Linked DNA regions of Struthio camelus. The protein of the gene in region 3 purifies or fractionates together with the protein of the main gene of each other region. This does not show direct contact. Links are inferred from orthologs where the notes say so. Each region holds a gene or a part of one and is shown on either strand. Other genes may lie near its edges.

Region 1 (3,743 bases), on a different chromosome or scaffold from region 3:
CCGGCACGCGCGTCCCTGCTCGCCCCGCTTTACTTCCGCTCCAGTTGCGCCCAGCGCGACCGCCCGCTGCACTCAGCTGCGGCCCCGCCAGCGCTGCGGGCGACACGCGGGCACCGCCGCGGCGCCGAGGCTCGCTCCCCGCTCGGGGCGCGCACGCTCGGCGTCACCCCGGCGCAGCCCCTTACCCCTTTGGGGTGGGTGACGTCCGTCTGCGTGAGCGCGTCCCTCTGCTCCGCCGGCCCCACGCCGGGAAGCGGCCGCTGGTTCTCCTGCCAGTCGCGCAGCTGCAGCGAGAGCGCCTCGATGATGATGAGGGTGCTCTCCAGCCGCCCCTCCAGCTCCGCTCGCGGCAGGGACTTCAGCTGCTCCCGGGGACAGCTAGGGAAGGAGAAACACCTGAGGGCCCGGCCCGGAGCAGGGGCACCCCGCGGGTGGGGTGGCCTGCCGATGGGGGGGGACCCTGGGACAGCGCATCCCTGCAGCTCCGTTGCTGCACAGGGACTTACTGCCAGAGCAGAGAGTCCGTTTCGGCAGCACTGTCCTTGGCACAAGCAGGCCCTTCTGCAGACGTGTTCGTGCTCCTCTCCAGCAGGTCCCGCGGAGTCATGAAGGTCCCGGTGGCCACGGCGGGCACAGGGGTGATGCTGGTACCGACGTCCTGCTGCAGCGTGGGCAGGGGCAGGCTGTGCCGCAGGGACTCCAGCAGAGACGAGGCGTTGAGGCTCTTCTCCAGCCACACCAGTGGCATCACCCAGGACACGGCACCTGGGGCCAGCTCAGGCGAGGGGACAGAGGTGGCCGCAGGCTCCGGCCCTGCAGGCTCCAACCCACCTGCCTTGGTGGGAGAGGGCCCAGGGGGGTCCTGCCCCGGCGGAGAGGTGGTCGGGGACGCAGATCCCCTGGAGGAGCCTTTGCAAGGTGGGGGACCAGCATCCCCGTCACTGTGCAGGGGCTCGGGTGCCGTGGGGCTGCAGGAGAGGTCAGTGGGCGTCGTGGGGCTGCAGGAGAGGTCGGCGGGCGCCACTCGCCACCCGTGGAAGGGGGCTTCCTGTGGGGTGGAGCTGGTGCCGGGGGGGCCCAGGGTGCAGGATGCTGGGGTGGTGCTGCCTGGGGAGCCCAGCGGGGTCCTGCCATGGGGCCTTGGGGTGCAGGACACTGTGGAGGGGCTGCCAGGGGGCTCTGAGGTGGCGTTACCAGGCAGCTCTGGGGTGCAGGGGCCTGCAGGGGTGCTCTCAGGGGGCTGCAGGGTGGCACTGCCAGGGGGCTCTGGGGTGCAGGACCCCGTGGGGGTGCTCTCAGGGGGCTCCAGGGTGGCACTGCCAGGGAGCTCTGGAGTGCAGGACCCCACAGGGATGCTCTCAGGGGGCTCCAGGGCCCTGGTGCTGCCAGGGGGCTCTGGGGTGCAGGACCCCACGGGGATGCTCTCAGGGGGCTCCAGGGCCCTGGTGCTGCCAGGGGGCTCTGGGGTGCAGGACCCCACGGGGATGCTCTCAGGGGGCTGCAGGGTGGCACTGCCAGAGGGCTCCAGGGTGGCACTACCAGGGGGCTCTGGGGTGCAGGGCCCCATGGGGATGCTCTCAGGGGGCTCCAGGGTGGCACTGCCAGGGGGCTCTAGGGTGCAGGACCCCGTGGGGGTGCTCTCAGGGGGCTCCAGGGTGGCACTGCCAGGGGGCTCTGGGGTGCAGGACCCCACGGGGGTGCTCTCAGGGGGCTCCAGGGTGGCACTGCCAGGGGGCTCTGGGGTGCAGGACCCCACGGGGGTGCTCTCAGGGGGCTCCAGGGTGGCACTGCCAGGGGGCTCTGGGGTGCAGGGCCCCACGGGGGTGCTCTCAGGGGGCTCCAGGGCCCTAGTGCTGCCGGGGGGCTGTGAGGTGCAGCACCCTGGGGCAGTGCTGCCAGCAGGCTCTGGGGTGGGGCTGCTGGGGGGCTCCAGGCTGCAGGGCCCCGGGGTGGGGCTGCCAGGGGGCTCCAGGGTGGCCCTGGTGCTGCTGGGGGGCTTTGGGGTGGCATTGCTGAGGGGCTCCGGGGTGCATGGCCCTGGGCTGGCACTGTCATGGTCCTGCAGGACACAGGGCAGGGGGATGTCAGCACTGCCCCTCCCCAGTTACCCCCCTCCAGCTGTTCCCCCAGTATCCCCAGTTCCCCACCCCAGTACCGCCAGCTGTCCCCTCCACCATCCCTAGCACCCCCCGCCATTGTCCCCTCCCCCAGGTCCCCCAGCACACCCTGCCACCCCCGGCTGTTACCCCCCCCGCAGCGCCCCCACCCCCAGCTGCCCCCCGTGTCGCCGGTCCCCCCCAGCACCGCGTACCTTGAGCCGCAGGCGGCGGAGCAGCGGCGTGAGGCAGGTGCGCTCGGCGCCCGGCTGCAGCCGCAGCTCCCGCAGCGGGGCGCGCCCGGGCCGCCGCGCCTGGGACACGGCCGTCACCGCGGGCACCGGGGCCGCCCGGGCCCCGGCCCCCGCGCACCCCCCCGCCCGCGGGGCCCTACGGGGCTGTACTGGGTCCGTGCACCGCGAGGCCTCACCGGCACCGCCGTCCCGGTACCGGGCTCCCCCACCCCCGCTCCCGGGGCCTCCCCTCCACCGCCGCACCGGCACCCCCCTCCCAGCCGGGGCCCACGCCGACCGCCACTCCGGGACGGGCCCTACCGGGGAGGACACCCCCCGACCGGGACCGGGACCCCCCCAACAGACCCCCGGCTCAGGACGCCGGGGCACTCACGGCGGGCGGCTGCGCAGCTCGCATGGCCCCGCTCGCTCGCTCCCTGCCTGCCGGTTCGGATCGGCTCGGTCTCGCCGCCGCCGCCGCCGCCGCTTCCCCGCGCGCCGCCGCCGGGCCCCGTTTGAAAACCACGCGCGGCTCCTATTGGCTGCGCCGCCCGCGCGTCACCGCGCCGGGGGCGGGGCCTAAGGCGGGGCCGCGGGGTAAGCCCCGCCCCGCGGCGCGTCGGGGCGGGGCGGAGGCGTTTGTACAGCGCCGAGCACCGGGCGGCCGACGGCGCGGCCGGGCCCCGCGGGCGGAGCGGCCGTGTCCTACCCGTGCGCGGCCCTCGCGACGCGCCTTCGCCCTCCCTCCGCTGCCCGCAGGGAGACGCCTGCTCCGGAGCATCCTGCTCTGGCCTCCCCTCCGGCGCGCCAGGCGACTCGACTCCGGGGCAGGGGGTGATGCCCGGCGGTCTCTGGTTTATTGCTCCCGCCGAGCGCGCGGAGAGGTACGGCGTTGGTGGGAAAGGGGGCACTGGCACGGCGGGGTCCGACCCGGTGCCGGAGGGGGGTTTTTCCCTGAGTGATGGCGAAGAGGGCCCAAGCGCCAGGCACGGCCTCCGGCTGGCAGGGCCCAAGCGCGGGCTCAGCCAGGCCAGGGCCGGCCCGCAGGGGCGGCGAGGTCGCAGTCGAAGTCGTCGAAGGTGACGGCGGCCTCGGGCAGGGGCTCCTCCACCGGCCGCGGGGCCACGGCCGCCTCCACGGGGTCCTTCTGCAGCAGCTCGGCGTCGAAGGCCATCCCCCGGAAGAAAGGGTGGCCCTGGAAGTGGTGGAGGTAGCGCAGGCGCCGCAGTGGGTTTCGGCACAGCAGCTGGGGACGGAGGACACTGAGCCACAGGGACCCCGGCGTCCGGGCCGGGGGGCCAGCGGGGACCCCGGCGTCCGGGCGGGCAGGGGTACCTCTGCGAGCAGCCGGGCCAGCGCCGAGCTGAGGGCACCCGGGCTCTCGTAGCTGCTGCAGTTGACGCGCTCCAGCATG
Region 2 (3,743 bases), on a different chromosome or scaffold from region 3:
TATGAAAACCCTCATTTTTACTTTCAGTCAACAGAAACAAAGCCAGGGAAGGCTATGATTCAAGCTCTGATGTGGTCTGTATACAATAGTAACCAACTGGATAGGCTGGAGTTATAAGCCAAGCTGAGTACCATGGTAGCTCTGTATAAGCAGTATCAAACTTCTTTTTCCTAAGAGGCCCAGGTTTGCCAAGCAAGGAGCAGGTCTACTGGAAACAGAAGCAATCTCCCAGACATCTCTGTAGACAAGGAGCACAGAAACTAAGAGAAGTGAAAGGAAAGCCCTGATGACATCTGAGGCTCTAAGAAACAGGGAGCTAGGTAACCAGTAAGGGCATATAAAGGCTTTATGACAGGGAGCATGAGGCATAAACACTAGTGAGGAACTGAAGGGAAAGCTCAAACTTCTCCCCAAAAGATGTAAAAAGTCCATCACAATGCTGAACTGCAAACAATTGCCGGCACTGACACAGCTACCGTATTCACTTAAGAAATTAAAGCTAACAGATTCCTGCATGGGACAATTGCTTCTTCCATAGATTTAGATGGTAAGACTAGATGCTTTTGTGAGCTATCAAACTAGTGTCCAGTTACAGAGTTTCTTAGGAATTTTCCATTTTTCCCCCTCAGTCTAATAGTCACCTTCAGTACCAGAAGCATCCTCTAACATGCTCACAAATTTGTCTTCCCTTGTATTTGAGCCTTTTGTCACTATGATTCAGAGACCAGTTAGAGGAAAGGTAAATGGCTTTCATTAGGTCTGTTAGACTCAAGAGTGCCTTTATACACGAGGTCACTCAAAAAATAAGGTCATTAAATATGTCACAGAATGCAAACGTAGTTCTGGTATGCGAATAAACTGATAATATTAGAGCCATATAGCTGTCAGTTCCCCAAAAGCCCACTCCTTTTGTGTCTAGCTCCTAAAGTCACAATGGTCATCCACAGAGGTTTTTGCTCATGTACTGCTATCAAAGAAGCAGTTTATTTCTAAAAAGGTGAAGTTCCCATTGAAGAAATCTGGTCAGTACTTGCACAATTTCTAAGGCATGTGGCATTTCTAAGGCATCAATTGAAAAGCACCTGAAACCCCTCAGCATTAAAATGAACGCTCCCTCAAAGTAAAGGGGACCTAATTATAACTCAAGTAGCCAATCAGCAACTAGTTTTATAAACGCTTTCAACCAGTGCTGTCACCAAAAACAGAGCAGTTCCTGCCACTAGTGGTTCCTCTGCACCAACCACTGGTGCCGACAGAGTCAGCTCAGGAAACAGACTCAAGCTAAGAACTTTTTTTTTTTAATTTTTAAACCAAGATCATCGTTATGATTCAATTCACTGCCTGCCTGTACTAACACCTGGGCCAGCACCAGGGAGCGGGGGCACCACACGGTGGTGCACGACCGACCACCCTTACCCGCCTCACGCGTCCATGAAACCACCACCTTGAGGAGACCAGCTCTCGCCCACTTTCACGTGCCCCCTTCCCCATTCCAGACCCCGCTGATTAACCAAAACACTAATAACAATTAAACAAAATAATAATAACAATTAAACAAAATAAAAATCACTCCTTCCAGCCGGCAAATCTCGCTGGCGCGACCCATGGCGAGCCGGGGACAGGCACACTCCCCCCCCCCCCCAAAGGGCCTGCCACCAACAGCCTCCCCGCCCGCCGCAAGGGCAGCACCTTCCGCGGCCCGGCCCGGCCCGGCCGCCTTTGCCCCGGGAGCGGATCCGCCCGGGCTGGGCCCGCTCGGCCGCCGGTGCGGCCACACACACGCAGACGAGTTAGCCTCCCCCCTCAGCGGTTCCCCCCTCCGCAACGGCTACCGGGCGGGCCCCGCACCCCTCCCCCACCCGCTGACTGGCACTTACCGGAGGAGGGGCGGGCGGGCGCGCGCGCTCCCCCCTCCCCCCCCCGGACAACGGCTTGCGGGAGCGGGCGGCGGCACCGCCTCCTTCTGGCCTGGCAAGGGCCTCAGCGGCGGCGCAGGCACTTCAATCTCCCGCGGCGGTCGCTCTGCGATGATGCGGCCGCGGACCAACCCCGTCCCGGTCTCGCCCTCCCGCCTCGCCACTTCTCATCACTCTTCTACACACGCACACGAGTGCGCGCGCGCCCACACCGCTTTCCACCACCCCCCCCGCCCACGATTGGTTTGTCCCACCGGCCACACCTGTGCGGGTGGCTGTGGCTCGTACCATTTGTCGCAAAGGGGAGGAAGGAGACAGACTGTGAGAATCCCCAGATGCCCTAGGAGAAAGCGGCACGTGGCGTAAGCTTCCCCTAAGGATTTTTTTTTTCCGTTGGGTAACTTTAAGGAAGCGGGTGATGTCAAGGCGAGAGGCAGTCGCCCGCGCCTCCGCCCCCCCCCAACAGTGGGCTTGCAGTGGTACCGCCCAGGAGTGTGTCCCTTCCCCCCACAGGGCCGGTAGCGCGCTCGGCGGTGCCGGCAGCGGCGCCGGGGGTTGGGCACGCGGGGGGCGCGTGGGGCCGGGTTCAGAGCGAGGTGCGCGGTGTCGGGGCTTGTCCAACACCGGGCAGGTCCTGTCTGCCTAATTATGGGGATGCGGTTAACGCGCAGTTCAAAGTGCTGCTGTGCGATCCCCTCCCGGCCCCTCGGAGGCACCTGGTTCCGCGAACAGGAGTGGGGCTGGTTCTTTCCCCGATGTACTTTAACGCGTCTCCGAAATAGGCGGCCTGAGGCGCCGCGGCAGCTCCTCCACGCAACCAGGCCGAAAAAGTGGCGTGTCCTGTGCCCCTCCTTCCCTCCCCCCTGCCGCGGCCCCTCGACACGGACGAAGGAGCGAGGCTGCAAGTTTAATTTAAGATGCCTTTTCGTGCTTTGAAGGGAGGGCGTGAAAACCGCAGGCGCGGGATGGATCCCTTTTAACGCTGGTTGCGTGAAAAAGCCGTCTGAATTTGGCCTAGTTATAGCCGCCCCGGCGTGAGGAGGACCCAGCGCCGCGCGGGAGCTGCCGTTGGAGCCGCCCGCGGGGGGGCGCCGCGCGCCGCGGTCTCCCTAACGGCCGCCCGCGGGGGGAGGGGCGCGGGAGGCGGCAGGGGGCTCCCGCCGCCGGCCGCCCCCTGTGGCCCGGGCTCCTCAGGCGGTTTATTCCCCCCGGCACCGCCAGACGCTGTAGTTTAAATCAGGGGCGGCGGGTCGGGAGCATCAGCCGGAGTCGTGAGGAAACGAGGTCTGTGGCCGTCGCGGGCTCGGTGCGCCGCGCCGCCCGGCGGCCTGCGGGCGCAGGAGCGGTGCGGTAGGTAGAAGGCGGGCCGGGGAGCAGAGGGGGACAGCGGCGTTGGGAGCCGGGCCGTGGGGCTGAAAGGAAGGGGAAGGCAGGACAGGCGAGGCTGGGACCTGCCAGAGCGGGGGAGCTGAGGAGAGAGTCAGGCTGGGAGTGTGGCCCTGTCTCTAAAGATCGCGTTACCGTCTTGTAAATCAGAGCTAGCCCTTGTGCAGCCCAAAGGGCTTGAGTGTTTGGCCCTATGGCTCTGACTTCCTCTTGACATCTGTGTGAAGCTGTGATTGGATTAAAGTTTCATTTTTGGCTGTGGTACCAGTTTAAGCAGTGCCTTCACCACCGTCAGGACTCATTTTAACTCTCAGGTGATCAGCATCCTACAAATGATTGTGGGATGCAACAGGAAACATTTTAAAGAGGTTGTTTTTATGGATTTTTTTTTTTTTGACAATTACTTGTTATCATGAGTTAAAGACCCCAGAAAGGGAGGTG
Region 3 (3,743 bases):
CACTTGCAAGACTGCTATTATTAACTAAAACATGTAAAAGTTCTGTCCTTATTTTAAATCTCCTATAAATGTTTCTCCAGTTCATCTTGGAGAGAAAAAAATACCATTTGTGTTTTGTGTTAAGTCTCTATGAACAATTCACGGAAGAGAAAAAGGATACTCCAGTGCACTATTCGGTTTCTCCGGCTCTTCATATAAGGCTACCAATACTGGAAAAAACAAAACATTCAGCAATTGCAAGCAGTACAATAAACTGAAATATTAGAGCATGTACCAACAGTCTGAAGACATACAAGTTGGAATTCCACATTTATAGAAAACTTGCCTTTAACAAGACTTTTACCTATTTCCTTTGACTGTATAAATAGATCTGCACAGGAAAGAACAGAGCATCGCATGCAATAACAGCTACTCAGAAATTGTGTCAATTCCCGTACCCATAGGCGTAGGCTATTTAGCTCAGAACACAGAAACGAACAGCCTGGACAAATGTGGCATTTTCCACGTGCAACCATAGCATTAGCTTTCATCACTAAAATGTGAATTCCAACTATTTTGAGACTCTTGCTTCAGAAATTATTATTTCTGTTTAGGCTACATCTTTGAAACGCAAGACATCGTCAGCACTTCTGTAACTTTCAGTATAAAAAGCAAATCTCAACTGAACATCTACCGTTAGACAACGAAATGGGTACTGTCAGAGTAGATGACGTTCATCACTCATAATCTTTATGGATCTGAGTTCTGTTGGACAATGCCAGGCAGGTCAGGCACAAGCATCGGTACCCTGATAAAACCAGCCATATACATACGCCAGCTCTGTATGTGGAACGCTCAGTCTCATGAATCATTAGAAAATTCCCAAATATACGCTTCCCCCAAACACACACATAGCCATAGACAATGTTTGCTTTTATAAATATTTTCTGAGCAATGTTTACATGGGACTTAGGTGTCCTTCGCCCAGCTTCTGATGTCCAAACTACAGAGCCACATTGGTTTCAACTAAGCACCTAAGTTAAAAATAAAAACAGAGTGCTATTGTTTGGAATATGTGTTTTGCTATCGCAGAGGATGCTTATTACCGTGATAGTAGAAGCACATCGACAAGAAATCAAGTACTGCATACGCTCTAGGCCAATAGTCTTAAACACAAAACCCATTTGCTTGACACACTAGATCTGTCCTCTTTAAAGAACATGCTTTTCAAGCAGGGATGTTAACAGACTTTGTCAACATACTATTTGAAGACTCTCAAAAAAAAAAAAAAAACTTAGCAGACATTGGGACCATACTGAAAGTCAGAACAGGCCTAAGGTTTAGCATAAATATTTGCCCTAAGTATCCAATACAGATACTTAGTCATTCAAGTTCACAAGATCTAGGAGGAGCTCCAAGCTTTACTCAAAAAAAAAGGATCTTTTTAAATAGCATGTTTTTAAGAGATCATTTTGTGTTTTGCCTCAAGCATTTACTTACTCCGGAGATTTGCGGCAGTATTAGAGCCCCCAAATGAGTCTGTTTCCAAGAACAAGCTCGGAGAGAAGCGCTCTGCCCGAGTGAGAGAGGTCCGCAACACAACAGACCAAGGAGAAGGAAACTGCCTTTATGCCACTCCGGTGCCTTTACCGTTCCCGTAGCGGCCGCCCCAGAGGCGGCAAACTGCCAGAAATGCAGCGGGCACACGAGAGTCGGTCGCGTCTGCCTCCCCCAGGACGCCCCGCCTCGGCGCCCAGCCCAGAGGCGGCTTCGCCGTCGCGCACGGCTCCAGAGGCCGCGCGGCGCGGGCAGGGCCGGGCCGGGTCGGGCCGGGCCCGCCGCCGCGGCCCAGGCCGGGCACTTACCCTTGGTGAGCGTGTCCAGCACCCCCGACTTCTCCAGGTAGCGGCGGAACTGCTCCCGCTTGGAGTCCGCGGCCTGGGGGCAAGGACGCGCACACGGTCAGAGCGGCATGCCGCCCTCGGCTCGGCTCGGCGGAGACCGTCGGGGCCCACCCGCCCGCTCAGTTCTTTCCTACCTTGTAATGCGCCATCGAGCCCACACAACGCCAAGCCCAGCTGCGCGCCTGCGCCCTCGGCCTTTACGGCGCGAGCGCTTCCCGGCGGTCACCATGGCGACGGGGCCCGCGGCGACGCCCCCGCCCTCCACCTCTGACTGACTCCGCCCGCCCGGCGCCGGCGCCAGCGTCAACGTCAGCGCCTGCCCCGGCCCCGGCCCCGGCCCCGGCCCCGGCCCCGCCCCCAGCCCCCAGCCCCCGGCCCCGGCCCCGGCCCCATCCCCGGCCCCAGCGCTGCGGGGCGGCTGCGGCTCCGGGCGCGCTGCGCTGTCGCGGCGGCAGCGCTGTGTCGGAGGCGCTGCCGCCGCGCTGGCCGTGCCTGAGGAAGCGCAGCCGCCTGGCTGCGGAGTCTCGCTCCGAGGGGCGCCGAAGAACCGCGGGCAGTGAAATCTTCCCGTCAAAGAGCAAAAGCAAGTCTGTCTATACAACAGGAACAATTACTTTCTTTTTTCCTTTTGTGAGACACAGTGATGCCTACTAATAAAAAATCCCGTTCTTACTGTCATCATAAAAAAGAACCCATCTAATAATCACACAACTGCAGTTTTAGTTTTTGGGTTTTTTTTCCCCCACCATTTTTTTGCACACTGTTCTGCAGTGACTTGAGTTTGCAGTGGAATAAAGGTGAAATTTCTTCTTGGCAAGGTACTGTGATGAAACAGAATTTTTGACACATGCCCACAAAAAAAGTAACACCCCCCCAGTGAACAGCAGGAAGAAAACAGATTATTTTGCATCTTGTCTTTAATCAACAGAAGTTTGAATGTCAAATGCTGTTTGTGAGCATCTGAATGCTAATGTTTCTATTATTTAGATAGTGGAAGAAAAGTGTATTAAATACTAGACTCTTTAAACAGGCACATTAAATGCAAAATATGCATTAGCACAAATTTATGTGCCCGCTGAAAATTTCACTCCAGAAAACGCAAAGTGTAAGCCTACATTAGCAGTATTAATTCTGATTGTCTCTAATTTTATTCAATTTAAATATTATCAGTTGTGATTTTAATCCTTGTATTTTGCTAGGCCTAAAGTTTTAACCTGGACTTCCCTGACTTTTCCTAATGTGTGGCTTTATATGATGTATGTTTTCCTCTTTAGCTGGAAGGATAATGAAGCTTATACACTGGAGTTTAAGTCATCTTTGTATTAAAAAATGTAAATACAGTTTAAAGATCACTTAGCTAGTAAGCAAAGGTGTACACAACTTGGTTATCTATGTGAAAGAGCTGGTTAAAGTTGAATAATTTAGCTACTCTTAGAAGTAGCTATTACTTATGTTGCAACGTCCAGTAATTCTCCCAGCATTGACTGGTGTCAGTTCACTTGCTAATTCACACTAAATTTGAAGATCAGTGGTGGCACGCCTGCTGCTGGCATTACTTGACAATGACATTCGCCTAGACAGAGGGACAGGCTGAGGACTATCACAGTTTCTGCTTTGTTTAGATTCTGAGCTCGCCTCCCCTATGGAGTCAGGAGTGTTTGGTCGGCTCAGGTTTTTTGGGTCAATTTTGGAAGTAGCGTGGCCTTTGCTTGCACTGAAACTGCTGAGTCTTCTGTTGCTGCTCTTTTGGAGAGAACGTGTTGAAGACCCTGCGCTCTCAGCCACTGCCGCGCAGTTCCGTGAGGTGCCGATTCCACGCTGTCTTTTTAAACTGTTAACAGGAAAGGTATCACATGAGGT

What was found.
Region 1: the proteins of MYCBP (region 3) and SPAG5 purify together in Homo sapiens (co-immunoprecipitation; 3 studies listed by BioGRID and IntAct, with this or other methods). This does not show direct contact. The link is inferred for Struthio camelus from reciprocal best matches to the Homo sapiens genes MYCBP and SPAG5.
Region 2: the proteins of MYCBP (region 3) and OTUD4 purify together in Homo sapiens (co-immunoprecipitation; 3 studies listed by BioGRID and IntAct, with this or other methods). This does not show direct contact. The link is inferred for Struthio camelus from reciprocal best matches to the Homo sapiens genes MYCBP and OTUD4.

Annotation. Positions count from the first base shown.
Region 1 is NC_090957.1:16,565,915-16,569,657, forward strand, and holds the start of SPAG5 (sperm-associated antigen 5), read right to left. Parts: upstream 2,809-3,743; 5' UTR 2,748-2,808; coding exon 2,724-2,747; intron 2,411-2,723; coding exon 2,312-2,410; intron 2,060-2,311; coding exon 507-2,059; intron 379-506; coding exon 186-378; intron 1-185. Other genes in the region: RSKR (ribosomal protein S6 kinase-related protein), read right to left, coding at 3,351-3,575, 3,665-3,743. UniProt on the Homo sapiens protein: Essential component of the mitotic spindle required for normal chromosome segregation and progression into anaphase. Required for chromosome alignment, normal timing of sister chromatid segregation, and maintenance of spindle pole architecture.
Region 2 is NC_090945.1:34,655,348-34,659,090, forward strand, and holds the start of OTUD4 (OTU domain-containing protein 4), read right to left. Parts: upstream 2,303-3,743; 5' UTR 2,205-2,302; exon of another isoform or gene 2,139-2,204; intron 2,101-2,138; exon of another isoform or gene 1,878-2,100; intron 1-1,877.
Region 3 is NC_090964.1:11,590,757-11,594,499, forward strand, and holds the start of MYCBP (C-Myc-binding protein), read right to left. Parts: upstream 2,211-3,743; 5' UTR 2,033-2,210; coding exon 2,018-2,032; intron 1,918-2,017; coding exon 1,845-1,917; intron 210-1,844; coding exon 161-209; intron 1-160. Other genes in the region: GJA9 (gap junction alpha-9 protein), read right to left, coding at 3,396-3,743. UniProt on the Homo sapiens protein: May control the transcriptional activity of MYC. Stimulates the activation of E box-dependent transcription by MYC.